Mus musculus: one gene and its partners. The protein of the gene in region 5 binds, or shares a complex with, the protein of the main gene of each other region. Links are inferred from orthologs where the notes say so. Each region holds a gene or a part of one and is shown on either strand. Other genes may lie near its edges. The genes, in order: Lsm2, Lsm3, Sart1, Lsm4, Prpf4, Txnl4a and Lsm7.

Region 1 (4,055 bases), on a different chromosome or scaffold from region 5:
TTAAGGGATGCACTGCTATCAACACCACTTAGCTAATCATCTTTCAAAGTATTATCATCCTCCAGGATATGAGAGAGGTCATGGAAGGTAACAAAACTTACAACCAATAAACTGAAGGTCAGCCCAGATCTGCATGACTCCCAGAAGCATCAACTATTATTTTTAAAATATTGATTTTTATTATTTGTGTGTATGTGCATGTAGTTACCCACAGAGACCAGAAGAGGGCATCAGATCACTTGCAGCCAGAGTTCTAGGTAGGTGTGAATCACCTAATGTAGTTGCTGGAAACTGAACTCTTATTTTTCAGGGAGAGCAACAAGTTTTGTTTTGTTTTAAAGATTTATTTATTATTATATCTAAGTACACTGTAGCTGTCTTCAGACACTACAGAAGAGGGCGTCTGATGTCCGCTCTCTTTACAGATGGTTGTGAGCTACCATGTGGTTGCTGGGATTTGAACTCAGGACCTTCGGAAGAGCAGTCAGTGCTCTTAAAATCTCTGAGCCATTTCTCCAGCCCCCAGCAAGCTCTTTTTAAAGCACTGAGCAATCTCTGCAGCTTCCCTAACTGTTATTTGTAAACATTTACTGCTTTGGAGTCACAGACCTATGTACACATACTGGTAGCTGGAATTACTCTTTATTATTTTTGCTACACTCTTTTTTTTCTCGTATGAGTTTTTTGTTTGTTTGTTTGGTTTTTTTTTGTTTTTGTTTTTTTTCGAGACAGGGTTTCTCTGTGTAGCCCGAGTGCTGGGATTAATGGCCTGCGCCACCACACCCGGCTTCTTCTTCTTTTTTAAAAAATTGGATATTTTCTTTATTTACATTTCAAATGTTATCCCCCCCAACTTATCTTTAATAATGAAGATACAAGTCAAGTCTTCTCAGTTCTCCAGCCCTCTAGCCCCTAAGCAAGGTTATCAAGGCCAGTGCTCCCATACCACCTTACATGCCCCACCTTATATTATATTTACCCTCTGTGTAACCAACTTTAACCACCTCAGATCCTGAGTTTTACTTCCTCACTCTCTACATCCTATGAATCCCCACAGCTCTGTAGACCATTCGTGTGATTTGACTTTTAGACTATGAAAGGTCTTAGTCTGCACCTCAGTCTGGGCCAGCTTCTAACTTGGCCACACTGGTCAGAACCATCCTGCTGGTCAACCACTGATGTGTGTTCAAAGGTTTCAAGAGTCTACAAATAAAGTTATTTTGCTGGGCGGTGGTGGCACACGCCTTTAATCCCAGCACTCGGGAGACAGAGGCAGGCGGATTTCTGAGTTCGAGGCCAGCCTGGTCTACAGAGTGAGTTCCAAGACAGCCAGGGCTATACAGAAAAACCCTGTCTGGAAAAAAAAAAAAAAGTTATTTTAAAGAGAAACATGAGGGCTGCATATGAAGTTCACTTGTTGAGCATGCCCAGTACATGAAAGAAAACAAAAGCAAACAAAACCCGGCTTCAATGAAACTATAATTTTCGAAGCACTATTAGGAACCAAGTAGACCTTAACGGATGTGACAAGAACCCATAAACATATTTCCAGTGGTACAGCATTTAAGCATTTACCCCAACTCCTGAATCGTTAAGAGCAAATGATACAGCCAGGCAAATCCTAGCACTCAGGAGACAGAGGCATGTGGATCTGTGTGTTCCAGGACAGCCAGGACTACACATACATGTTACTTAACTGTATCTCACTGTGTAACTCCGGATGGCCCTGGACATATGTAGACCAAGCTGTCCTTGAACTCACACCTCTGCGTTCAGTGTTGGGATTACAAGCATGTGTCACAATACCAGGCTCACTCTTAAACTAATCTTTTACACTTAAGACGAAAGGTATTTCTTCTGTGTTTTGCCTACCTACTCTGAAGTAACTTTGTCAACAACAACGACAAAAAGGATCAGGACACCCGGCACCCCCACCTTCCACCAACTCGCTAAAATAAGGACCTACCTCAGGTCATTCTTGAGTTCCACGACTACATCCTTGCCCACAAGAGACTTGAAAAAGGAGTAGAAGAGCTATTGGAAAAGAGGGAGGAACTATCACATGAAAAGGGACGGGGAGGAGGAGCCCGTGACAGTATTTTGAAATACTAGTCTTTGTAGCCCCTCCTAGTAGTTCTCAAAACTTCATAACCAACAACAATCCGTTAAACGGGACTCTGCAGTTCACGGAGCCACGGAGTGACAGGACCTGCGTTGCACCCCTCGACGCTAGAACCCACTCTCTGAGTCGACCACCTCCCAGCTGAGACCGCTTCCCAACCGCACCCTCACAAAGTCCTCGTCAACAGCACAGAAGTGCAAGGCTCGCTTCCCGTTCTCCCCCGGCGCCCGTGGGCTTTCTCTTGGACTTGCTAAAGGTTTCCCCCAAAACACCATCGGCTCCGAGCAGCCTCCTCACACTGGGGTGTGGGCAGTAAGGCTGTACGGAAAACCCTGGGGCCTGGCTGCCGCCCCAAGCGACCGACACGAGTGCCCGCACCCACGCCCGCACGGTTCGAACCGCCCGCCGCGAGCGGCGGCGCTCCCTTTTGACGTCACGGTACCCACCATGGTGCTGGCGCCACGCGGGGCGGCCTGGACCGCGAAGGAAGGCGCCGGGGACTGCGAGCCGGAGGCAGGGCGGGAGCCGGAGCGCGAGCCCGCGCGTGAAGCAAGACTGGATCACGCAGGCGCACGGGGAGCCGCGAAAACCTCGGCTGAATTCAGGCTCAAAGGGAGCGGGGTAGGGCAGAGCCGAGAGGACCGCCAAACCGGTAGAGGGGCGGAACTTCCTGTCCCCCCCACTTCCTCCCGAGCAGCCGCTTTCTCACAAGCGCATGCGTGGGCCGTGGCAGCTGCGCGTTGGACGTAGTTCGTCTCTTTTTCTGATGGTTGTTGAGACTTTTCTCTCTGCCGCGTGATTAGCTCGTAGTCTACGTTTTCTATGGGGAATTATTGGGAAGATTGAGAAAATTATGACTTGCGTATTCTTTAGTAAAATTTAAAATGTTGCTAAGAGCTGGACAGCGTTCGTGCCCAACTGGAATCCTGGAGTTGAGACGGGAGGATTCTGGTTTAGAGGTCAACTAAAGCTATTATAGCAAGACCCTGTGTCAGAGAATAAAATATACACCAATACACACTGGTTATGGTGTGTGTGAGTGTGAGAGAGAAACCGGAACACAAATCCTGATTCTTATCAAAGGTTCCCAGTAAGTAAGTTTCTCTCAATTTCAGTCTTTTGGGGTGCAAAGTTGACCCAGAGCGGACACATTCTAAGCAAAGCAAATGAACAACATCCCAGCTCTAATGTTATATATATATATATAATTTGGCATAGGACTCGTCTGTAAAGGACTAAACTGACTGGAACTCAGTGACAGAAATATTTTACTTTATCTTAGCTTTTTTTGTGTGTGTTTGACAGTTTTTGCCTGTATGTTATGTCTGTACTACATGAGTTCCTGGTAGAAGAGAGGGCTTCAAATGCCCTGGGCCTGGAGTTACAATGGTGAGCCTCCTTGTGGGTGCTGGCAATCAAATCTGGGTGTTCTGGAAGAGCAACAGATGCTTGTAACTGCTGATCCATCCCTGCATTACTGAAATATTTTCAACTAGATCACCGACAGATACTACTTTGGATGTTCTGGGAACAGCATTACCAGGCTTGTAACATGCTGGTTGTGAAGGAGTTCACAAGAGCTGACTGATTTAAAAAAAAAACAAAAAACTAGAAAAGCCTCAGTAGGCAAGTTCCAGAGAAGAAAGAGATGGTCTGAGATGAAAGGGCTTTGTTGTTATTTCGATTGACTTGTTTTATGTAAGTATGCTGTGGCTTTCTTCAGACATCCAGAAGAGGGCATCAGATCCCACTACAGATGATTGTGAGCCACTCTGTGCTTGCTGGAAATTGAACTTAGGACCTCTGGAAGAGCAGTCAGTGCTCTTAACTGCTGAGCCATCTCTCCAGCCCTATTGTTTTTTTTTTTTTAAATAATTACATTAAGTGGGAAGTTGCTAGGTTGTATCTTCTGTGGATATCATGTCTGGATAAA
Region 2 (4,020 bases), on a different chromosome or scaffold from region 5:
CAGCCTCTAAATCCTGTAGGAAACCAGCTAAGTGAGGAAGATGCTATACTTGCAGAGCGCAAGTCTGAGGGGGTTTTAGATAAGAAGACAGAGGCATGAGGTTTTGTTGTTCTACATCCGTTTGGCTGCTAGATGATGACCTGAGGCAGACAGATGAGAGGAAGCCAGAAAAGAAGCAACGTGAAGTTCACTTACTCAATTGTGGACAGGATCTCCAGCTATAAAATTAAAGAGAATTAGGTACAGATTTCATTGGTTCCGAAGCTGACTGGACTTGCTGCCGAACTGGCAGTTAAGAAAAGGTGTGATTTATTGAAATGGAACAACTGGAGGATGGATTTGTTTAAGAGGGAAGATGGAAGTTTTGCTTTGTTCAAGATCTAGGTAAGAAGCGCATTCTAGCCAGGGCGCAGTGGCAGACACGGGTTAATCCTAGCTCTAGGGAGGCAGAGACAGGTGGATCTCTTGAGTTTGAGGCCAACCCGGTCTACAAAGTAAGATCCAGAACAGCCAGGGCTACACAGAGAAACCTTGTCCGGAAAAACAAAGCAACAACAACAAAGCACATCCTAAACTCTGGAGTTACACTGGATGGCAGTCGGGAATTTGGAGAGAGATCTCGCACGCACTAGAGTCTCCCTCCGTCTTGGTTTTGGGGTCTCCTTGAGACACCTGGTAACTGCGAAGCTTTCTGCTGCTCAGCCTTCAACACTTGCTTAGAGGCTGAACTTGGCTCTAATGGTTAACAGAGGGGTTTAAGGCTGATAGCAGAGGCCCTCGGGGACGCCGCGCACCCGGCCGTGGAGACCTTGCCACAGGCGCAGATCCGCTCCGCCGCCCGCACCAGCCTCAGCCACCACTGCCTGGCATGTTGCAGACTCGGCCTCTCACCCGCAACGCTCTCCTCGTGCCGGGCTACTTTGTTGTCCTCGGTTTTCTGGCCCCGCTTCCGCCGCCTTCCGTCTGCGGTGCGCTTTGGGGCCATGCTAGCCAGAGGCGTTCCTCGGGACTACCGCGCAGGACGCCGCAGGTCTCCGCGTGCCCGCCCCGCCCGGAGGCGGGCCACGCCTGGCCGCGCCCCCAGCCCAGGGTAGGACCACGCCCTCGAAGGAAGCCCCGCCCCCATGCAAACTACGAGGGCGCGAAGGGACAAAAATAATATAGTTCGCCTTCAGTGCGTGGCGGCCTAAGGTTTCTGAGTTCCTGTTCCCGCGAGAGGTGGAAAGGGCGCAGCGTTTGAAACATGGCGGACGACGTAGATCAGGTAAGTTTGACCTGAGGCGTTCGAAGAGGAAATGCTTTCGCTTCTCGCTTTTTCCACGCTTCCCGTGGGATGGCCCTTTTCTTTTTTTCCGAGTCACCACGGCCTTCCGTAGCCGGGCCTGCTCCTGAAACCTCCGTAGGCCCAGAGTTTCTCAACCCGCCCGTCTACCCATCGCGCTCGTCGTCGCCCTTTCTCTGTAGAATGAATGCAGGCGGCTGGAGATGCCCATCTCTGGGAGCTAGCTGTCGGGATTCCGACAGAAAGCGGGAGGTCGTAGCAGGACACCAGTTTAGCAATCCGAGTGAACACGGGGGGCACAGGCAGTGGTTCCCTTGGAGTGAATTACGAGGGGAGGTCAGAGGAAAGGTGCAGTTCTAGGAGATGGAGAAACTGCTAGAGATGGAGTATGAAGAAAACAAGCAAAGATCTGGTACACAGGCCAACAGAAGGGCCTACGGGCCTCTGCACCTACCCTTCCCTATTTCTTAGGTAGCTGGTGTACCTTGGCCACCAAAATGTCTTTCACACCCTCACATGCACACACAGCCCCTGCACACACACACACACACACACACACACACACACACACACACGTACGTACGTGCTACCCTACTGTGTTTCTCTCCAGAGCATGTTGTTTTAAATATGTATAGCCCCTGCACACACACACACACACACACACACACACACGTATGTACGTACGTACGTGCTACCCTACTGTGTTTCTCTCCAGAGCATGTTGTTTTAAATATGTATTTATTTAAAGTGTTTCTTCCACAACTAGAGTGTAAGTTCCTTAATGGGGATTTATTGGGGCTGGAGAGGTGGCTTGGCAGATAAGAGCGCTTGCTGATCTTGGAGACAACCCTGGTTGTGTACTAGCACCCACATGCTGCTCTCTCAGCTGACCAGTGATTGAAACACCACCCGGCCTCTGTATCCTATGAGTAAGCCTTTGCCTTTCCTCAGCAACAGACCACCAATACCGTAGAGGAGCCCCTGGATCTGATCAGGCTCAGCCTGGATGAGCGAATTTATGTGAAAATGAGAAATGACCGAGAGCTTCGAGGCAGACTACACGTAAGTCTGTTAAAACATCTCAGAGCCAGAGGCTGCATCCTACCTCCTTACAAATTAGAACTGCAGTGTAAACTTACTTTTTTGAATTTCTTTTGGGAATTGGAAAATCCTTCTATTCACTTTTAAAATATGTTTTCCTTAACCAGAATGGTTTTTTAGAGAGGGGTGGGACTCCGGTGAGACAGAACAAGGCATCTGATCCCCTGGAGCTAGAGTTACAGACTGTTGTGAGCTGCCTGATACGCTCAGGTCCTGTTCAGGAATCCAGTGCTCTTAGCTTGAGCATCTCTCCAACCATAGAGAACACTTTCGTTTCCTTCAGTTTTGTCTTCTGCTTATTTATGAATAAACTTGTTTGTTCTCTTGGGTTTAGACAAGGTCATACTAGAAAACCTGGCTAGCTTCAAACTCCAGCTCCCTCTGCCTCTCTCCTGAGAGCTGGGATTACAGACATGCTCTTCATTCTTGGCATTGTCCTGGATTTTTTAAAGTTATTGGATAGGGTATTTTAGCTTTTGACATATAAAGCTCTGTTTTGTCATGAAAAGAATTAAATAGCAGGCTAGAGATAGTTTGCCTAGCATGCGGCAAAGCCCCTACCCTAGCACTACCCAAAAAAAAAAAAACAAAAACAAAAACAACTTCATAGAAATGGGTAAAATTAAAGGCGAAGTTCCATTTTTCTCTATGTCTGACCACTGTTCAAAGTTGGCTGCATAGTCGTCTGCATGTGTATATGCCACCTGTGTCTGAAGGGGAGCCTAGTGAGGAACGGAGGCATGTGCCATGGTTCCAGTACTTAGAGGACCAAGGCAGGACGATCATATATTTGAGGCCAGTCTGGCCTACATAGTGAAACCTTGTCTCATATGTACACACTTTTTTCACATGTTTTTTGTGTGGAATAATTACACAGCTGACACAACGCCACAGGATACAGGATTCTGTGTCAGACTTCAGTCTCCCCCCCCCCCCCCAGCTATAAAGCTGCAATGGGTACTTTCACAGATATTGCTTGTGCACATTTATATGTCTGAGGAATTGGTCCCATCATTGTGTACTTAAGGTTTTGTCTCCTCTTGTTACTTCCCTCAGGGCTGTTTGTTTACAACAGGAATTGAAATAAGTCTTTTAGTTCAGGCTTAGAAATTAGAAACAACCCTCTACTGACAGTGACAGAGCCACTGTAGGGGACCAGGCCATCCCACTTCAGTCTCAGTCTTAGAAATTCATGTTCTTTCATGAAACCCAAGGATAAAGAATTGATCTACAAGCTGGCCTTGTGGGAACAGCAGTGTCAGTTTGGTGAGAAATGTGGGATGATGCTAAATTGCATGGCACTCTGGTGCACGGAATGATCCCCAGGCCAGACTGTGGCCTCTAACTTGGAGTTGTCTGCAGCTCTTACCTCTGCAGTAACGGCCCAGCTTTCTGTTTCCTCCCTGCTCTCCAGATGAGTTGCTCATTTGTGTAGCTGCCAAGCAGTTCCTTCCCAGTGTGGCTGTTAGGCTATTTTTAATCTTGATATGAGCAGGCAAAAGCGCTTAGCACTTTGTTAGAAGAACATGCAGTGGGTTCTGAACAAGCCCCAGGAGGTTTGCTGTTTAGTAAAAGGAATGAACTTTGGAGATTGCACTGAACACTGCGGTTGAAATCCTTCCTGATTGAGCCCACAG
Region 3 (3,500 bases), on a different chromosome or scaffold from region 5:
ATACAAACCTAAGTCGCTAACCTTCTCCACCCGCTGACAGCGAACCTGGGTTCCTGTCTGCCCTTGGCATCAAGTCTCCTGCTACTTGGTAGCCCCTAGGCCCTGCTCTCCCTAAGGTGTGGCAGCAACAGCACCAACCCAATTTCCTGAAAATAAGTGTGAGCTTTTAGTTAGGTGGTGGTGGCACACACCTCTAATACCAGCACCCAAGAGGCAGAAGCAGGTGGATCCTTGAGTTCAAGGCCAGACTGTTCTACAGAGTTCCATGACAGCCAGGGCTACACAGAGAAACCCTGTCTCAAAAAAGGAAACAAAAAAAGTGACCTCTGACCAATGGCCATAGCCAGTAGACACCATAATCAAGCACCTGAGACTTAGAGAAATGGACACTCCTGCACAACCATCACTAGCCAAGATCCACAGGCACAGCCGAGAACACCAACTGACCTCACCTCTTTTATGGTCAGTGTCTCAGGAACTGCTACCTAGTATCACTTATAAACAACTGGGTTTCCTGTCTCTTGCTTTTTTCTAGTTATTTGATACACTCACCAGAGACCCACATGGGGCTAGCTTCAGTAACTGACACAGGGCACTCATCTTCTGATTCAAAGTAGCCACCTGTGGGGCAGGGTCCTCCCACAGCCTGTGGCTCAGCAGGGCTTCTTCCACAGCGCCTTCCTAGAAAGCCCATCTTTCCAGGCACAGTTGCAGGCACCTAGCAGGGTGGCTCAGTCCTCGTATATAAGTGCACTCGAGGTAACCCCTACCCCAGTCCTGGGATGACCCTCATGCCTCCACAAATGCCACAGTAACACAGGGGACAGGAGGTAACATCTCTACCCTTCCAGAGAGCCTAGGCAATCCTTACTTAGTACCCTGAAAACTGTAACCAGGACAACACAGGGTGGTTAGTGGCTCTCTAAGGCCTAGCAACACGCATGTGACCAGTCTGAAAACAGCAATGATTTGGGATCAAGAAGCCAATTTGACCGCAGTGTGACAGGTACACGCCACTGGGTGGAGGGCTTCTGTTACAATGGAGTCAGCTCACAGAGGAATGTCCTCTGAGGGACCAGGCTGGTTTCTCACCTCCTCTGTTCATTAAATGGCCAGTCTTACAGGCAGAGATCAGACTTTAAATCACACAGGTTCAAGGATCAGGCCCATCCGCTCCTGGATAACCAGAGAGTGAACGAAAGAGCTCACCGGCGCCTCACGCATGAAGCAGGTGTTCTGACCACTCGGAAGGCAACACAGAAGGGCGAGGAGGCTCAGCGACTTGCCAGATGGCAGAACTGACCGTGACAGAGGCCTTGCCTAGGTCTAACCTTAGACAGCAGCACAACCAAGAGGAAAAATAAGGAGGGAACTTTATTTAACACTACATCTGGGCCAGGGAGGAGGGCGGCTTCATTTGGTGATGGTGTTCCTGCAGGGAGAAGAGGGTGGGCGATGAGGCTGTGAGACTGGAAAGGGGATGCAGTGCCTCCCCACCCCTCCGGCTCCTACTCACGCATTCATGCTCTTGCCACTGCCACTGAGCACGATATACGGTGTCTTCTGGGCCTTCTGCTTCTCCTGGAGCAGTGCCACGGTGCCCAGGGGCGTGTCACTGGAGCTCATTTTCTTCAGGAGCTGTGGGGCCACAGGAGGTCAGAACAGGGGGAGCAGGCCCAGCATATCACACATCACCCAAAAATGCAGAGCCCCCACCTCCCTCCCAAGACCCACCGCCTCCTCATCCAGCTTCTTCATCCGCCGCTCAGTCTTCATCTTGCCTGAGCCCTTTCCGTGGAAGCGGTGGGACAGCTGCCGGAATGCCTGGGATACAGAGCAGGAGCAGAGGCATCAGAAAGGCCAGGCAGCCGGGATGTGGGCGCACGCCTTTAATCCCAGCACTCGGGAGGCAGAGGCGGGTGGATTTCTGAGTTCGAGGCCAGCCTGGTCTACAGAGTGAGTTCCAGGACAGCCAGGGCTATACAGAGAAACCCTGTCTCGAAAAACCAAAAAAGAATCCAGGGTCCAGGGTGAGCCTGCCTCTGGGAGCTGGAGTTAATGCCAGCAAACATGGAACCAGCATACAGAGATGGGAAGCAGCAGGGGATGCTGGTAGGCATACTCAGGGCACAGGGCTTCAGCTGTGGCAGTCAGCACAGGTGTAACCTTCCTGACAGCCAGCCTGTGGGAACTTCAGTACTACGCCCAAAGTCAGCAACGGAGGCAGAATTCACCTCGTCACCTGTGGTCTGACCATCTCCACAAGACCCTGCTCACCTCCTTGGGAGTCAGTTTCCTGCCCGTCTCATCCACGTATTCAATCTTAACATCAGGCTTGTAGCCATCTTTCTCCTTGAAGTCCTGGGTGAAGCCCCTGTACTCCTCCCGTCGGCTGTACTTGTCATCAATGGCCCTAGACCAAGGCAGAGGGGCTCAGGGTGAGCTGCCTGCTGCCTACCCCATGTTCACAGCTGCTCCTATTTCATGTCGCCACGGCCACACTTACATCTTATCCTCGATGCAGTACACTGCTGAGGGCAGTGACTTATTGGGAGCCTTCACCCGGGCCACCTTTTGTACTGTGGTCTCCAGCAGTCCTAGGGACAGAGAAGTTTTGACACCCAGCTTCATACAGGTCCCTCAGAGCCCTGCTCAGGAGTTAAACATGCCGCATCTTTACGGACATCAAAGATCAGCACTTCCCTAAGGAGGCAGCACAGCTGGGATCTGGCCCCAGTGTATCCGGTTTAGCCCACTTCTGAGGCACGGAAGAGAAGCAGACCTCTCACCCCGCAGCAGGAGAGGCAGTGAGAGGCTCCGCGTCTAGGGAGCTGCTTGAAGCCCCGAGACTGAGGGGAAGAGGAGTGGAAACCCAGGACACCATACAGTACTCACAGGCAACCATCCAGCCCGTCCCGGCTATAGTACCCACACTGCCAAGGCTCCCACCCTGAGCCCACACCTTTGTTCTGACACAGGAGCAGGGCAGCAGCCAGCCCTCTGTTCACGATGGGCTCCTCATCCAGGATGGTGGTAGAGGAAGCAGAGAACTAGAGGTGAGAAAAGAGAAGTGTGAGCAGGCTGCCCCATCTCTTCTATCCAGCGGTCATCCTCACCAGGCACTAGGCTGTGGGACCAGTTTTAACTGACCCCCAGCTGGCTCTGGAAGGGTTAGTGCCCCTTCTATGGATGGGTGGAGGCTTTCAGGCACTGGACAACTAGCCTGGGTCCCCACACCCACGCCCACCGGTGCTCACATCCTGATGCTGCTTCTCCTCATCCAGGTTGACGGTGCTCCAGCCAATGTTCTCTTCCCCATCTGATTCAGAGCCACCGTTGGCCGAGCGCTCCTCATCCCTTTCAAAGTCCTAGGACCACAAGTCAGTGTCAGGGTGGGCAGCCTCAACCCTACCTGCTACATTCAAGCACTAGAAGCAGAAGTCAGCAGCCTAAGGACAACAGCCAGGGAACTGCTGACGTACCATGAGCTCTTCCTGCTC
Region 4 (3,022 bases), on a different chromosome or scaffold from region 5:
GAAACAGACACAGGGGACCTGGAGAGTACTCAAGGATGAGCTCCATTCCAAGCACTCCAATGGCTGTCATCTCATTTCCAATATGCACCAGGTATGCATGTGGTAAATACACACGTGGACAAATACACAGACACATGGGCACAGACAGACACACGTACATGTCCCGTGCTGTGCTCTCCCTGGGTCACTTTCCCTGTGGTGCACTCTGGAGTTGTATGGGATCAGAACTGTTCTGCCTGCAGAAGCAGCCTGACAGCCTCCTACCCTAGTCTCCCACAGTCCAATCATTACAGGCCTGGCTTTTTAAGTGCTTTGTAGCTCCAGTTGGCCTAAAACTCCTGACTCTACCTCTTAGCCTTCTAAATGCAGGATCTGCTCTACTCTCACCTCCACTGGCAGGACACACAGACAAGCCCCATGCCCAGGGAACTGCTCCCTCTGATAAGACCCAGGTGCCCTGAGGACAACATGCTCAGGGCTTAGGCAGAAGAACAGCTGGCTCTTTCTATGGTGTTTGCTTTTATTTTTCAAACAGAAGATGTACAGGGTATGGCTGGTAAAGGACAGGTGAGCCGCCATGGGCTGAGCCTGCAGCTCCAACTGAAACTCAAACATGCCTGGAAGAAGTCAGCCCTTCAAAGGGCATCTAAGGCTCCACAGGCACCTCAGACTCGGAACCTTCCAGAAACTGAGTCAGTGGCCAGCGAGGGACTTCACTGGACCAGACGCCAAGTGGGGCTTCACACAAAGGTGCCCTGAGGCCTCACCCACCGTTCTGGGCTCGGCTCAGGCAGGGAGTGATCACTGTTTGCCTGCCTGCCGCCCTGGCTTCTTCTCGGGCTGGCCTCGGCCTGCACCTGGGATGCCACCCCGGCCCCGGCCACCAAACACACCTGCACAGAACAGAAAAGGCAGAGTTAGACACCAGCGTCCCTAGACAGGGACAAGGGTCTTCCCCTCTGTGCCCTGGTCCACTGCGCAAGGGTCCTGTGGGAGATTCCAGGTTGTACTCAGCCTACAGGAGCCCACACCACCATGCCCTACATGTGATTGAAGAGGGTGCAGAGAGGCGAGTGCCCAGGTGTCCCTCCCCCACCTCATCCTCACAGGGACCCCACCTCGGCCAGCGCCGCCCATGCCTCGGCCTTTCTGCTGCTTCTGCTGCTGCGGTCCTCCTCGCCCTCGGCCCTTGGCGGCCTCCTCCCGCACCATGTCAATGATCTCATCAGGGATGCGCAGGTACTTGATGGTGCTGCCACGGATGTAGCACTCAGGCATCCTCCAGAACTTGTCACCATCCTGTGGAGAGGGGAAGTGTGACAGGTGGGCATAGTCCATCCAGGCCAGCAGTGCACCCTCCCCGCATGACCACTCACCCGCGACGTGCAGATCACCTCCCGGAGGTTGATGTTCATCCAGTTGTCACAGCTCACCAGATGCCCGTTGTAGGTCTCCCCATTCTTCAGCTCCACCAGCTGTGGGAGAGCCCATCAGCCTAGCTCAAACACAGCTGGCTTCCCATCCCAAACTACAGCTTTCTGGGTGTGCTTTGGGATCAACCTCTAAGGGCTGGCTGCCGCTCAGCTCATAAGTGGGTGCTGTGATAAGCAGGCACCGCCCAGGTTCCCCACCCAATGTATGGACAAAGACAAATTAAAACTCCACACTAGCTGGGCATGGTGGCACACACCTGTGATTCCAGAACTCTGGCGGCTGAGGCAGGAGGATAGTGAGGAAACAATGGGCAAGCCCAGTCTAGTCACCTACAGAAGGAGTGTTAACACAGCCAAGAAAATGACTCAAAACCACTGAGTGACAGACAAGCCACACTCAGAAATGCTCACAAAATGCAAAGGAGCAGACGTCAGGTGGGAGCAGTGCACAGGCAACCAGGGCTGGGGTAGACCCGAGGTGGGTGCTGAGGGGAAATGAGAAGAGGCTGGGCTCTGGCTGTGTGGAGTCTATAAACACACTACACACCACAGAGGCATGGCTCCTTCTGTGGCACCTCGGATGGAACCCAGGCCTGCAGCTTGCTGGGCCATGCCTTGGCTATTCGGCCACACTGCTGCTCCTTTTCAAAAAAAAAAAAAAAAAGCTTCAACCAGTGGCAATCCTCCTGCTGCATCCTCCCAGGCAGCTGCGATGACAGGGGACCTGGTCTATGCTGTGACTCTCAGGGCAGAATCAGGGGCATGAGTTGCACAGTGCCCAGCTTCTTCTTGACATTACTTTTAAAAGATTTTTTTTTTTTTTGGTTTTTTTTTTTTTGAGACAGGGTTTCTCTGTGTAGCCCTGGCTGTCCTGGCACTCACTTTGTAGACCAGGCTGGCCTCGAACTCAGAAATTCGCCTGCCTCTGCCTCCCAAGTGCGGGGATTAAAGGCGTGCACCACCATGCCCGGCTATAGATTTCTTTGTGAACGTTTTCCTTTGTATTGCATTTGCCATTCTGTCTGTGTGCAGACAGGGCAGAGAACAACTTCAGGGAAGTCATGAACCCCTCCATCATCACATGGGTCCTGGGGATTGAACTCAGGTCCTTCGGCTTGGCAGCAAGCACCTTTACCCACTGAGACATCTTGCCAGGCCTTCAATCATGAACTGCAAAAGACTGAGCTGTGGGCACATGAAGGGAGGTGGCCCAGAGTGCTTACCATGGGGTGATTCTGCGCTGTCTTCAGCAGCGACAAGGGAAGCTGGAAGGCAAAAGTCAGTGTGAGGTGTAGTCCTCAATTCAGGGACGACCACATGGGCATGGCTACCCCCAATGCACTCGCCTGTCTTCAGGTCACAGGTAACCTCACATCATCCCATTCTACAGATGTGAGCCACCTGGACCTCCCGGACCATTTTGGTCATTTCTCCACAATTTCTGTCACCTGGAACCACAGAAGCGGGGCACAGTCCTCTGTCTGGAGGTAGCTTTTCTGAGGCAGAATCTTGTCATAAGCCCAGGCTGGCCACAGCCTTCTAAATGCACAGGACTGCACACCAGCCTGCTTCACATCCCGTCCATGTGC
Region 5 (3,500 bases):
GAATTCTTTCTTCTGGACCTCTGCTTACCTGGGGAGTGAATAATTAGCAATCCACAATCTGGCCACCTTCAGGCTATTTGGCCCTTCATGGTACCAGGTTTGCTGATACTGAGAAGGAAATAACAGAAGAAACGTTAGGTCTGGAAAATGCCTGCTCTCCCAACAGTTGTTCCCCTCTGTTCTCCTCACAAAGAAGGTGTCTGGTGCAGTAACAGAACAAAGCAGGCACTCGTCCTTCTGTTAGTTACTTTTTACTTAACTGTGTTGTGTGACTGTGGGGTACATGCATATGAATGAATGCCATGGAGGACAGCATTCGATTGCTCAGGATTGGGCATTCCTAGACTCAGGTGTTGGGACCCAAACTTGAGCCTTCCTGAAGAGCAGTGTGCATTCTTAAGGGTAGAGCAATCTCTCCAGACTCCTTGTCTTTTTTCTATGACTTCTTATAGTTTCTGGTTTCTTGCTGAGTCACACCAAGAGTGCATAGCTCCTTCCTGAATGGAGCACTTCCAGCACCATCCCCAATCCATGAAAATGATCAATTATTGCCATCAATCAGTCCCATATGGCAGAGAGAGCCTGTAGACACCTCTCTTCACTTTAGCAAAGAAAGCACTGGAAAGAATGCCCTTGAACTTTCCCAGTTTACCTCCTCCTTTGACTTCTTAGACTTTTCATCATCTTTTTTCGTCTTTTTTAAGGCATCAGTCCCGACCACTGAGAGAATATTTCTTAACCTGTAACAAAAAAGGTCAGAAATCAATATGGATGAGGTCCAGTAGGGCCCCATCACCACTTGTGGAAGAGATATGTCGAGATCCCTAAAAGCTTACAACCACAGGGAACAATGAACCTTAGCCACACTGTGTTTGTTTCCCTACTCATACATTCTCCCCCCCACGTGACAGGGTTTCTTTGTGTAGCCCTGGCTGCCCTGGAACTCACTCTGTAGACCAGGCTGGCCTCGAACTCAGAAATCCGCCTGCCTCTGCCTCCCAAGTGCTGGGATTAAAGGCGTGCACCACTACTGCCCGGCTCATACATTCTTATACTGTTTAACTCATAAATTAGCAAGGTAAAAGGTTAGTAACGAAAAACCAAAACAGATTTTTATAATTAGGTGAACGAGATCTGTTTTTCTTTCTTTCTATCTTATTCTAGTGCACACTAATAGGAAGGTAGCAAGGAAACAGCCGATGGAGGGACAGAGCTTGATGGTGTGTAAATGAACATTTATAAAGTGTTTACTTCTGGCATTTTCCCAGTCAGTAATTTTGGACCTCAGGTGACTATGGTGGGAGAAACAGGAAAGCCAAACATAGGAGAAACGCTGTGCACCTTTGCTCTTCGCCTCTCAGACTCCTCCGGTCTCCCTAAGACTCCAGTGGGCACGTCAAGCCTTTCCACAGTCTTTACCTGAAGCCTCCTTAATACCAGCCATCAGCAATTACTCTATTCCATTTAGAGTCAACTGCTGCCACGTATAGCTGGAACCCACTGAATGCCATGGTGCACAGGGCACCGATTCAAGGGCTAAGGATATTTAATGATTAAGAATAGTCCAAAGGAACTAGGCTTGATGACACACACTTTTAATCCCAGAACTTGGAGGCAGAGGCAGGTGGAGTTCTCTGAGTTCAAGACCAGCCTTGAGTACAAGTGAGTTCCAGGCCACTAAGGGCTGCACACTAAGACCCCATTTCAATAAAATAAGAATTACAAGTGAGGTGCGTTGGTAGGCTCCAGGCCAGCCAAGGCTATATTGAGAGACCCTGTCTCAAAAGAGCAACAACAGGGCTAGAGAGATGGCTCAGTGGGTAAGAGCACTGACGGCTCTTCCAAAGATCCTGAGTTCAAATCCCAGCGACCACATGGTGGCTCACAACCATCAGTAATAAGATCTGACACCCTCTTCTGGTGCATCTGAAGACAGCTACAGTGTACTTAGATATAATAATAAATAAATAAATCCTTTTTTTAAAAGAGCAACAACAAAATCAAACTAAAGGATAATTCTGATGACACTACAGAAAGCAGTACATTATACCAATACCAGAGAGCGGTGAACATAATGTGAAGGGAATATGGAAAAAGTACAGAGCCAAGGCTTGGGAGCAGGTGTGGGATAGATATCAGGGAAGGCTTTACAGATAGGGTGTTGTCAAACACTCATTCAGCCCAGAGTCAAAAACAGAAGTTGAGACAGAGGGTTAAAGAACTCTAAAGGCCTACAGTCAGGGACGCAGGGTGAGCTTAGGCCTGCAAGCGCTTCAGTAGAGTTGGAATATGGAACAAAGGGGAAGGGCTGGTGATGGCCAAAGCTGGGAAGTCAAGTGGGGCCTGGTCACCGGAGCCTTTACGCTACCCAAGGAAGGGTCTGCAATGAGAATGATAGGGCAGCAGGCAGAAGAGGAAGAACAGTATAGAAAACTCGCCTTTACTGTTAAAGCAATCAAGTCACAATGGTGGCCCCGAGCTAAGGTAGTGGCAGCTGGGATTCAAGGCATTCACCTATGGGACATAATAATAAAGCACAATGGACTTGGTAGGCAGAACACTGAGTCAGGCTGGCAGGGCGGCTGGGAGGCAAGGGGCCTGCTGACTTGAGATAGATCCCTGGGACACATGGTGAAAGAGAACCAACTCTCACAAGTTGTTCTATGACCCCCACATCCGTATGAAAGCACATATATGTCTACACACACACACACACACACATACAAATAAGAAACACTTAAAAAGGCACTGGCAGAAGTAATGGAGCAAGGCTTCTGTGAACAAGGGGCATTTATGCTCAAACAAAATCACATGACTCTAAAAGCTAAGAGAGAAACAAAAAATGAAATATTTGTGTACCAGGTTCAGAGGTTAAAGATTACTTTTTGCGCCAGGCGTGGTGGTGCACGCCTTTACTCGCTGCACTCGGGAGGCAGAGGCAGGCAGATTTCTGAGTTCGAGGCCAGCCTGGTCTACAAAGTGAGTTCCAGGACAGCCAGAGCTACACAGAGAAACCCTGTCTCGAAAAACCAAATCAAACCAAACCAAAAAAAGATTACTTTTTGCTCTTTCAGAGGACCCAAGTTCAGTTCCCAGCAACCATATCCGGTAGTTCAATATTGCCTGCAACTCCAGGTCCATAGGTAATACCCTCTTTTGGACTCCCAGGGTATCCTAACTCACCTGTACACGCTTCCACACAGACATATTATGGATTTATATAATGAAAACAAAACAATCACCTAGCATATCCAGCAAGCAACTTCCCAGCAGAGTAGGCAAGGGCCTGATGGGAGTCAGCACCAACTTCACAACCCTCAATAACCACAATAACCACAGTAACCACAGTAACCTTGTACCTCCAGCGACAAATAACAAATGTAACGTTTATAAAGGACACCTTTCTCTTCGTTCAGCAGGGCCCTCTCCAAAAAGCGTGATAGGCTCTCCCAAGGCTCGAAGGCAAGCCTTGACCTCTGAGTCATCTGTGGAAACATTGA
Region 6 (3,500 bases), on a different chromosome or scaffold from region 5:
CTTTTTTTTTCTTTTTTGGTTTTTCGAGACAGGGTATCTCTGTGTAGCCCTGGCTGTCCTGGAACTCACTTTGTAGACCAGGCTGGCCTCGAACTCAGAAATCCGCCTGCCTCTGCCTCCCGAGTGCTGGGATTAAAGGCATGCGCCACCACGTCCGGCTTCTACTATTCTTTTAATGAGCAAATTAGTGCTAGGCGTTACATTGCAGCTCTGCATGTGAATCTGACTTTTTGCAAGCTAGGAACTGAATACTACCTCTATCACCAAGCGGCACCCCAAGCCAGGACTCATGTTTTGGTTCATCTGACGAGTGCGTTTATTTGTAGGTCAGACATCTGCTTCACTCCTGAGCTTTCCTAATGGGTCAGTGTGTGAACAACAGAAGGTACTGTCCACCCACCAGGCGTCCAGTGAGTGTTCGCCACTGCGTACGATGGAGATGCATGGGGCAGGGGTACTGAGGCGCTCGTCCAGAGTCGGCTCCTGGTATGCTCATCTTTCTCTTCTGAGTTTGTGTTTAGAGATGAGAGGGTAGACCCGGGTCCCTCCACATTGCCAGGAAGAGAAGAAACAAGAGGAAGCTGACGTAGATAAGGGGACTTGTGCTGGGTGGAATGAGGACCCTGCTTCCTTAGGAAGCAGGACACAGACATGCTGTGAGGAAGAGTGGAGGAAGGGAAGCGCCGCCAGGCAATTGCTTTTTCGTAGTTGTGTTTTGAGCTCGGCTGCCTGGCCTCAGCCAGCAGCAGGAGTGAATCCTACCTGGATCACAGTGCTGTTTTATATGCTGAGAGAGATTAAGACTGGGTATTCTTATGGGTTATGTCACCCCAAATTAATATGTTGATGGTTTAAGCCCAGAATCTCAGACCATGACCTCATTTGGAGTGACTATCATACGTAATCGGTTAAGATGAGGCTGTACAGAGGTGAGGTGGCCCCAGGCAAGGTAACTGGTGTTTGTAAGTAGGGTATGTTTTGAGATTGACATACACATGATACACATGACTTGTAAGGAAAACGGCAAAGACTGGGATAACGTGTGCCCAATCCAAGGTTTACCAAGGATGGCCAACAACCTCCAGAACCAAGGGGCTGCTGCAGATGGCCCACAGCCTCAAATGGAATCCAGAACCCAGCCGCCTCAGGCTCACACCTCGAGAACTGTCCAGCTAAAATGTCTGGGGTAGTTTGCTTGACAGCTCTGGCAACCGCTCGAAGATGCAAAACCAGACAGCCTCCTGGGACAAACACTGGGAGTAAAGACATTTGCACGCAGTAAGCACAGCAGATCCCCACTGCTCCCTCGCCATGTTTATTTGCTCCAGCTAGCTAAGGCTCTGTAGCCCTCATCTCACGGATCCTCCAGCTCTACAGCAATGTCGGGCTGCAGGGCCTTTCCAGAGGCTACGAGAGCAGAGTATTTCTATGTGGAAGAGGCTCTCAGTGTCCTTTGCACAGCCTGAGGGCAGGGCTCAGTATCTGTACTTGGTAGAATAGTCCTTGGGAGACACCACCAGACCCCGGCCTTTGCGGGCGCCACGGTACACGGTCTCTATGATGTCAACCATTTCTTGCTTGTCTTCCATGGCCCAGTTGATCTTGTTGTTGTTGCCAGTGCCCAAATCAATCATGATATGTTTGTTTCTGAAAGAGAAAAGAGGAGCAATGCTCACACAGAGAGCCCCCACCATGCCTGTTCTCTCTCTGTTCTAAGCACCTAGAATGTCATTTAAGGGCACTGCCATCCAAAGAGACCACAGTTCAAAACAAAATAAAGTCGGGCAGTGGTGGCACACACCTTTAATCTCAGCACTTGGGAGGCAGAGACAGGCAGATTTCTGAGTTTGAGGCCAGCCTGGTCTACAGAGTGAGTTCCAGGACAGCCAGGGCTACACAGAGAAACCCTGTCTCAAAAAACAAAACAAACAAACACAAAATAAAGACAAACACTAAATATCATTTTCTAGAAATGAAACACAGCAGCCACACACTCTTCTTGCATTCTTCTATATTTTCTTTGCATTCGTGTGTGTGTGTGTGTGTGTGTGTGTGTGTGTGTGAGTGAGAGAGAGAGAGAGAGAGAGAGACAGGAGACAGAGAAGGTCTCTCTCTCTACATAGCTCTGATTGTCCTGGAATTCACTATATAGCTGGAATTCACTATATAGCTAGGTCTGGCCTCAAACTCAGAGACCGCACTGCCACTGCCTCCTGAGTGCTGGACTGAGAGCATGCACCGCTGCACCCTGCAATTGTGCATTTATGTCTAGGACTGTGAAGACCAAGGACAGCTGGATCGTTTGGAAAGACATGCAGTTTTCCTGAGGTGCTCTCATCTTCCTGAACGAGCAATGGGCAACCTCTTACGCTTTGTTCACACAGACCTGGTACAGCTTTACCAAAGGCTTTGAACCATGAGTTGAGAACGATGGCTCTGCCCACCCTGGCATGCTGTGACTGAGAAGCAAACAAGCCACTTGTCCTTGTCACTTGTCCTTTAGAGGATAGGCCTTTTCCCCACTTAGGAACCTGCATTTGCACTTTCTGAATAAAGATGTTAACCCCTGCTGCACTTGCATGAATTTTTCCAGGTTCCTAAAGATCTACTTGTTATCAGTCTAACTTTTCACTCCTACGGATCACACACTGGCTTCCACGATGGTCCACGTGGATGAGCATGCTCCACGGGTTCTGAGCACAGTGAGAAGGTCGGTTTGACATAACTTCTGTGTCAAACACTCTCTCCCAGGGTAGCATTCCATGTCCTCAGCCCAGGAACGGGGTGGACACCCACATCTCCTCCCACCCACACACATGCACAGCAGCCCTGCTGACCTCCATGGCTTACTCTCTGTGAGCACACTGGGCATAACTAGTCCTTTATATACCTGGGAGCCCTGTGCGATTCAGACAGGCTTCAGTCAGTTGTACTCTGCAAAGGTTTTTGTAAAGCCTGGCTTCTCTTACTCTGGCCCAGTCCTAAGAGTAAAACCTTGTAGGTGCTCAGTGCACACACTGGTCCTAATTAGATAGTGTCCTAACGACCTCAAAGACACCAGCTATGTCCCCTATCCACATACCAACATTGCTCCCTGAAACTCCTTCCACGCCCATCACTGTAAAGATGGCCCCTCTGTCGCATGTGAAGTGAGGCCTTGTTTCTCACAAAGAGGAGAGGGAACTTGCGTTGCGCACTGGGAGCCACTGTGTCCTAAGCTGTATGAGCAGCAGAACTTGTTAGTGATGAGCCTGTTTATTAGCAGACGAGATTTCCAAACAAGGAAGTGCTGCCTGCTTTCTCACTCCCAGTAAAAGGAGCAGAGGTGACTGGGCACAAGACCGTTAGTGAGAAGATTAAATTCCCAGCTTCTCCAGATAATGAGATGCCTTGAAAGATCACAGGCCAGAGCACTCAGAGGAGATAAGGTGGGTGTGTCTCCCAAGGGTGAGAGGCCCTCCCAACCTCTAGGAGGCTTCTGGACTGGGAACATTGGCTCA
Region 7 (3,959 bases), on a different chromosome or scaffold from region 5:
CCACAGGAGCACAGAGTCCCGCCCTGGCCCCGCCCCAGCCCCTGCCTGGGCTGCTTCTCTTGTGGCAGACGCTTTAGGGAGGCACCCCAGCCTGAGGAACCTCAGGGCCCAGGCTCCCTGCTAGCCAATCCTTTTCTCAGGCCCTCCTGGTTCCCCTGGGCAGAGAGAACAGGCAGGGGCCAGTGCTAAGGGGATGCCATATGGAGGAAGACCAGGTTCTGGTGTTTCTAGGTGTGGTCTTCTTGCCACAGCCCACCAGGTGAAGCCGGCTGGGCTGCGGGACCAGGCGTCCAGGTTTCTCCCATCCCTGTGCTAGTCCCTGGCTGTGCTGTGCTCTGCCCTGGACCACGGTGTCTGATCAAGGTGTCTCCATGGCTCTGGCTTCTCCAAAGATCAAAGTTACAGAGCAGGAAGGGAGGGAGATGCTCACATGGGCAATTTTATTAAAAAACAAAACAAAACAAAACAAGAACAAAAGACCAAAACATCACACAGAAGTTCACCCCATAGAAGGAAGATCCCTGGGGCTGGACCGCTCTCCTTTGCTGCTAAGTGTCCTGCTGCTGCACGAAGGGGTTGGGGATGGCCTCCATGCCGTCCTGTGGGCAGATGAGCACCACCGAGGTGCCACGACATACGACAAGCCCCAGCTGCCGAGTGTCCTCCGTCAGCTTGTACTGGTCATCAGGGTCTGGTAGGATGAGAGGCAAGAGGACTGAGGTGCATATCTATCCATAGGCATGCCACAGCCGGGACCTCAGGGGCCTGAGAGTTCTCACTCACAGCTTCTGGGGACTGACAGATCCAGATGCTCTCAAAACACCTGACCAGCAGAGTCTAAACCACAGAACCACGAAGGTGGCTGAGGGAGGAGCCAGACATCTCCAACTTCAAGAACGCTAGAGCCCATGCTGACCCCGTAAACACCAAGGGCATCTACTGAGCAGCAGATGCACTGGAGAGGGTGGGCAACAGGAGGAGCTGGTAAGCAGTCAGACATAACTGTCACGAGGGCTGGAGACAGGAAACCTGGTGTGGGGGGCAGGGGTCTGCTCAGGGCACTACAGGGTGGACCTGCTTATACAGAGCTGAGATCCAGTGAGCCTTGGAGTCTCTGATGCAGGTAGACATTCCTGGCCGAGGACAGCGGCCACCATTCCTGCTGTCCTGAGGGCTGAGGATAAAGCCAGCTACCTGAGGAGAGTGAGCTGGAAGTCTCAAGCCTGAGGCCCTCCCGGCAAGCACACCAGTCCTCTGGTGTTCCAACACTGCACCCTAAGTCACCACCTGCTGTAATCTGACCCCACAGGTCCCCAGCACCGTCCTACAACAACCTCGGCCGGCTCACCTCTCATGTACTCCATGGTCCCATCCAGCACCAGGTTGAGCAGTGGGTCAAAGCCCTTCAGGATACCGCTGGCTTGAGGAACACGGGCGAGACATGGAGAAGAATGTCAGTCCACCCCGTAACACATATAGAACCTGGTATGGCAGCTCAGGAACAGTTGCCACCACAGAACTCATGAGTAAGTAAGTGTGGTGGCCTAGTCACTGTGACTCCAACCCTCTTCTTTCCAGTATGGAAGGTGCTATATAGTGTCCATAAAACTTTATTGTCACCCATCCATGCAATCTGAAACAGTCTCCCCCCCCCCCCCCAGGGTCTCATGTGCCCAAGCTGGTCTCAGACTCACTAGGCAGCCTGATCCTCCTGTCTTACCCCTAGTGTTGGAATGCCAGGCTTATACAACCACGCCAGGTTTACACGGGGTTGGGAATAGAACTCAGGGCTTTATGCATGCTAAACCAGCAATCTACCCACAGACATACAGCCCCACCCATGGTTGATTCTTGGAGACAGATCTTGCTACATAACTTAAACTGGCCTGGAACTTTCAATCCTTTCATTGGGAAACCTTCCAGGTTCCTGCTGTGTCCAGGTGCTTAAGAACAGGGCTTCCTATCACCTCCTTCCACCTCCTCGTGGGTCCTGGCCCCTTCCTTCAGGATCCATCCATACTGGTCTGGGTGCTAATCTCACTTGACTCCTTTCCTGGGGCTCTGTTTCCCCACCCACAATAGGGGCATACCTTTCAATGGTACACAATAGCCCAAGCCATTATTGGAACGCCTGTACTAGGTGGCTTCCCTTGCTTGCTGTGACCTCAGCCAAGCTCTGTGTCAGGGAGCCCTGCGGTAGGCACTCACCTTCCCGGCCACCCTGGAACTTCACCCGAATGGTCTTATCGATGTACTTGGAGAGGTCCAAGATGCTTTCTTTCTTCTTTTTCTCTTTGTCCTGCTGGGAGGTGGGGCGCTGAGGAGAGAGGTCCAGCCTCCCCATATCCCTGTAGCCTGGGCATGGCACCCAGGGACTCCTTTCCAACTCAGGCTCCCAGAACCCTGGGTGCATCCTCACCTCCAGTGTCTGCCTAATTGAATGCTATGCCCGAGTCTGCATTTCTGTCTGCATGCCCACGTCCTCATCTGCATCCCTGGATACCCCATCTGCACTGTTTCCTGTACGCACCCCTGTCTGCCTGGTCTGCAACCCCCACGTTCCGCGTCTGCATCCTCATGTCGGTCGTCTGTTTTTCATGTCACCTGGTCTGTACCCATGGCTTCCGTCTGCAGTCCCACGTGGCTCCCATCCTTCAGCACCCTGTCTCCCTACTCTAGGGCGTCCGTCACTCTCCTTTCAGTCTTTCTGCTCTCGCTTCCACAGACCCTCGATCCCGCGGCCCTGCTTTCCACGATCTAGACATGCTCACCGCCATCTTGTCGCCTCACGTCGCTCTGCGCAGGCGCCGCCCCGCCCTTTTCTAACGCGGAGGCCTTTGCGCACGCGCAGCCTCGGCGCAAGCACGTTGCGGCGTCCCGAAGGCGTTGCCAGGAAACCTTCCGCCTAGAGCTGCGGGGGGACCGGCGGACATGGCCGCGGCGCGGCTGGCCGCAGCTTTGCTGCTACTCGCGGCCCAGGTGAGCGCCACGGCCGATCGGCCCGGCCCCCCAACTCCTGACCGTGCCCTTGACCTTGCGGTCCACTCGCTCATTGCCACCGCAGACTTCTGGCGGGGCTTAGCCCGCCCTGCGCCCCGGGGCCCCAACCGCCGCCGCCGCTGTTCCTGCCAGCCTCAGTTTCCCCTTTTGCAGAATGGGGCGAGTTCCCGCGCTCCATCCCCGGGGCGTCCAGCGCGGCCCCCGAGGTGCATGCAGCCCGGCACCCCGGCTTCTGTTCTGTGACCTTGGGCGGAAGGGGGTCCCCACCTCAGGGTCGGTGCAGAACGCTGGGGACGAGCTTCTGCTGGGACGCCTCAGGTGTGCGCGGGGTGCGCCCTGGCAGGAGGCTGGCTTCTGGTGTGCTTTGCTTTCTGAGAGAGGTGGCATGCTGGTCTCGAACTCGGCGTAGTCCAGGCTAGCCTTGAACTCACTATGTAACCCATGTTGGCTTCACACTCACTCTGCAGTCCAGGCTGCCCTCCAACTTGCTCCGCAGCTCAGGCTGGCCTCCAGCTCGCTCTGCAGTCCAGGCTGGGCTCTGACTTCCCATGTTGCCCTGGCTGTCCCTGTGCACCCGGTGAGGCTTGGCTAACCTGGAACTCAAAGCAAAACACCGGCCTAGTTATCTCACGCGCCGCATCGCAACTCCTGGCTTAGTAGAGTCCTTTCTTGTTTTGTCTTTGTGGCTCCAGCCTTCAGTCCCAGATCCTGGAGTGTTGCATCCTTGGGTCTTGGGCCGGTTTGAAGGGTGGCCAGTGCGTCCTGCTACTGTGTACGCTCTTGTCTTGTGAAACAAGAGCCCAGGTCATTTTTAAAAATACTTTTTCTTTTCCTTTTTGAGATTACAGACTTTTGTGACAGGGTCTCCCTGTATGGCCCAGGCTGGCGGTGGGCTTGCAGCTCTGCCTCAGCCTCCCCGGTGCTGCCACAACTGGCTGGCATGTGCCTCCTTGATTGGC

The links.
Region 1: Prpf4 (region 5) and Lsm2 share a complex: the UniProt entries of both Homo sapiens proteins name them as parts of the precatalytic spliceosome. The link is inferred for Mus musculus from reciprocal best matches to the Homo sapiens genes PRPF4 and LSM2.
Region 2: Prpf4 (region 5) and Lsm3 share a complex: the UniProt entries of both Homo sapiens proteins name them as parts of the precatalytic spliceosome. The link is inferred for Mus musculus from reciprocal best matches to the Homo sapiens genes PRPF4 and LSM3.
Region 3: Prpf4 (region 5) and Sart1 share a complex: the UniProt entries of both Homo sapiens proteins name them as parts of the U4/U6-U5 tri-snRNP complex. The link is inferred for Mus musculus from reciprocal best matches to the Homo sapiens genes PRPF4 and SART1.
Region 4: Prpf4 (region 5) and Lsm4 share a complex: the UniProt entries of both Homo sapiens proteins name them as parts of the precatalytic spliceosome. The link is inferred for Mus musculus from reciprocal best matches to the Homo sapiens genes PRPF4 and LSM4.
Region 6: Prpf4 (region 5) and Txnl4a share a complex: the UniProt entries of both Homo sapiens proteins name them as parts of the precatalytic spliceosome. The link is inferred for Mus musculus from reciprocal best matches to the Homo sapiens genes PRPF4 and TXNL4A.
Region 7: Prpf4 (region 5) and Lsm7 share a complex: the UniProt entries of both Homo sapiens proteins name them as parts of the precatalytic spliceosome. The link is inferred for Mus musculus from reciprocal best matches to the Homo sapiens genes PRPF4 and LSM7.

Annotation. Positions count from the first base shown.
Region 1 is NC_000083.6:34,980,599-34,984,653, reverse strand, and holds the start of Lsm2 (U6 snRNA-associated Sm-like protein LSm2), read right to left. Parts: upstream 2,801-4,055; 5' UTR 2,572-2,800; coding exon 2,569-2,571; intron 2,525-2,568; exon of another isoform or gene 2,398-2,524; coding exon of another isoform or gene 2,287-2,397; intron 2,035-2,286; coding exon 1,967-2,034; intron 1-1,966. UniProt on the Homo sapiens protein: Plays a role in pre-mRNA splicing as component of the U4/U6-U5 tri-snRNP complex that is involved in spliceosome assembly, and as component of the precatalytic spliceosome (spliceosome B complex).
Region 2 is NC_000072.6:91,514,815-91,518,834, forward strand, and holds the start of Lsm3 (U6 snRNA-associated Sm-like protein LSm3), read left to right. Parts: upstream 1-1,220; 5' UTR 1,221-1,243; coding exon 1,244-1,264; intron 1,265-2,233; coding exon 2,234-2,344; intron 2,345-4,020. Other genes in the region: Xpc (DNA repair protein complementing XP-C cells homolog), read right to left, coding at 892-985. UniProt on the Homo sapiens protein: Plays a role in pre-mRNA splicing as component of the U4/U6-U5 tri-snRNP complex that is involved in spliceosome assembly, and as component of the precatalytic spliceosome (spliceosome B complex).
Region 3 is NC_000085.6:5,378,704-5,382,203, forward strand, and holds part of Sart1 (U4/U6.U5 tri-snRNP-associated protein 1), read right to left. Parts: coding exon 3,483-3,500; intron 3,369-3,482; coding exon 3,258-3,368; intron 3,051-3,257; coding exon 2,963-3,050; intron 2,598-2,962; coding exon 2,507-2,597; intron 2,414-2,506; coding exon 2,278-2,413; intron 1,825-2,277; coding exon 1,735-1,824; intron 1,639-1,734; coding exon 1,517-1,638; intron 1,433-1,516; coding exon 1,414-1,432; 3' UTR 1-1,413. UniProt on the Homo sapiens protein: Plays a role in mRNA splicing as a component of the U4/U6-U5 tri-snRNP, one of the building blocks of the spliceosome. May also bind to DNA.
Region 4 is NC_000074.6:70,676,231-70,679,252, reverse strand, and holds the end of Lsm4 (U6 snRNA-associated Sm-like protein LSm4), read right to left. Parts: intron 2,699-3,022; coding exon 2,657-2,698; intron 1,476-2,656; coding exon 1,377-1,475; intron 1,300-1,376; coding exon 1,119-1,299; intron 894-1,118; coding exon 802-893; 3' UTR 501-801; downstream 1-500. UniProt on the Homo sapiens protein: Plays a role in pre-mRNA splicing as component of the U4/U6-U5 tri-snRNP complex that is involved in spliceosome assembly, and as component of the precatalytic spliceosome (spliceosome B complex).
Region 5 is NC_000070.6:62,411,783-62,415,282, reverse strand, and holds part of Prpf4 (U4/U6 small nuclear ribonucleoprotein Prp4), read right to left. Parts: coding exon 3,401-3,500; intron 2,934-3,400; exon of another isoform or gene 2,439-2,933; intron 741-2,438; coding exon 653-740; intron 109-652; coding exon 29-108; intron 1-28. UniProt on the Homo sapiens protein: Plays a role in pre-mRNA splicing as component of the U4/U6-U5 tri-snRNP complex that is involved in spliceosome assembly, and as component of the precatalytic spliceosome (spliceosome B complex).
Region 6 is NC_000084.6:80,220,326-80,223,825, reverse strand, and holds part of Txnl4a (thioredoxin-like protein 4A), read right to left. Parts: intron 1,648-3,500; coding exon 1,476-1,647; 3' UTR 1-1,475. UniProt on the Homo sapiens protein: Plays a role in pre-mRNA splicing as component of the U5 snRNP and U4/U6-U5 tri-snRNP complexes that are involved in spliceosome assembly, and as component of the precatalytic spliceosome (spliceosome B complex).
Region 7 is NC_000076.6:80,852,410-80,856,368, forward strand, and holds Lsm7 (U6 snRNA-associated Sm-like protein LSm7), read right to left. Parts: upstream 2,801-3,959; 5' UTR 2,778-2,800; coding exon 2,772-2,777; intron 2,748-2,771; exon of another isoform or gene 2,652-2,747; coding exon of another isoform or gene 2,616-2,651; intron 2,303-2,615; coding exon of another isoform or gene 2,300-2,302; coding exon 2,209-2,299; intron 1,421-2,208; coding exon 1,349-1,420; intron 692-1,348; coding exon 549-691; 3' UTR 416-548; downstream 1-415. Other genes in the region: Sppl2b (signal peptide peptidase-like 2B), read left to right, coding at 2,932-2,979. UniProt on the Homo sapiens protein: Plays a role in pre-mRNA splicing as component of the U4/U6-U5 tri-snRNP complex that is involved in spliceosome assembly, and as component of the precatalytic spliceosome (spliceosome B complex).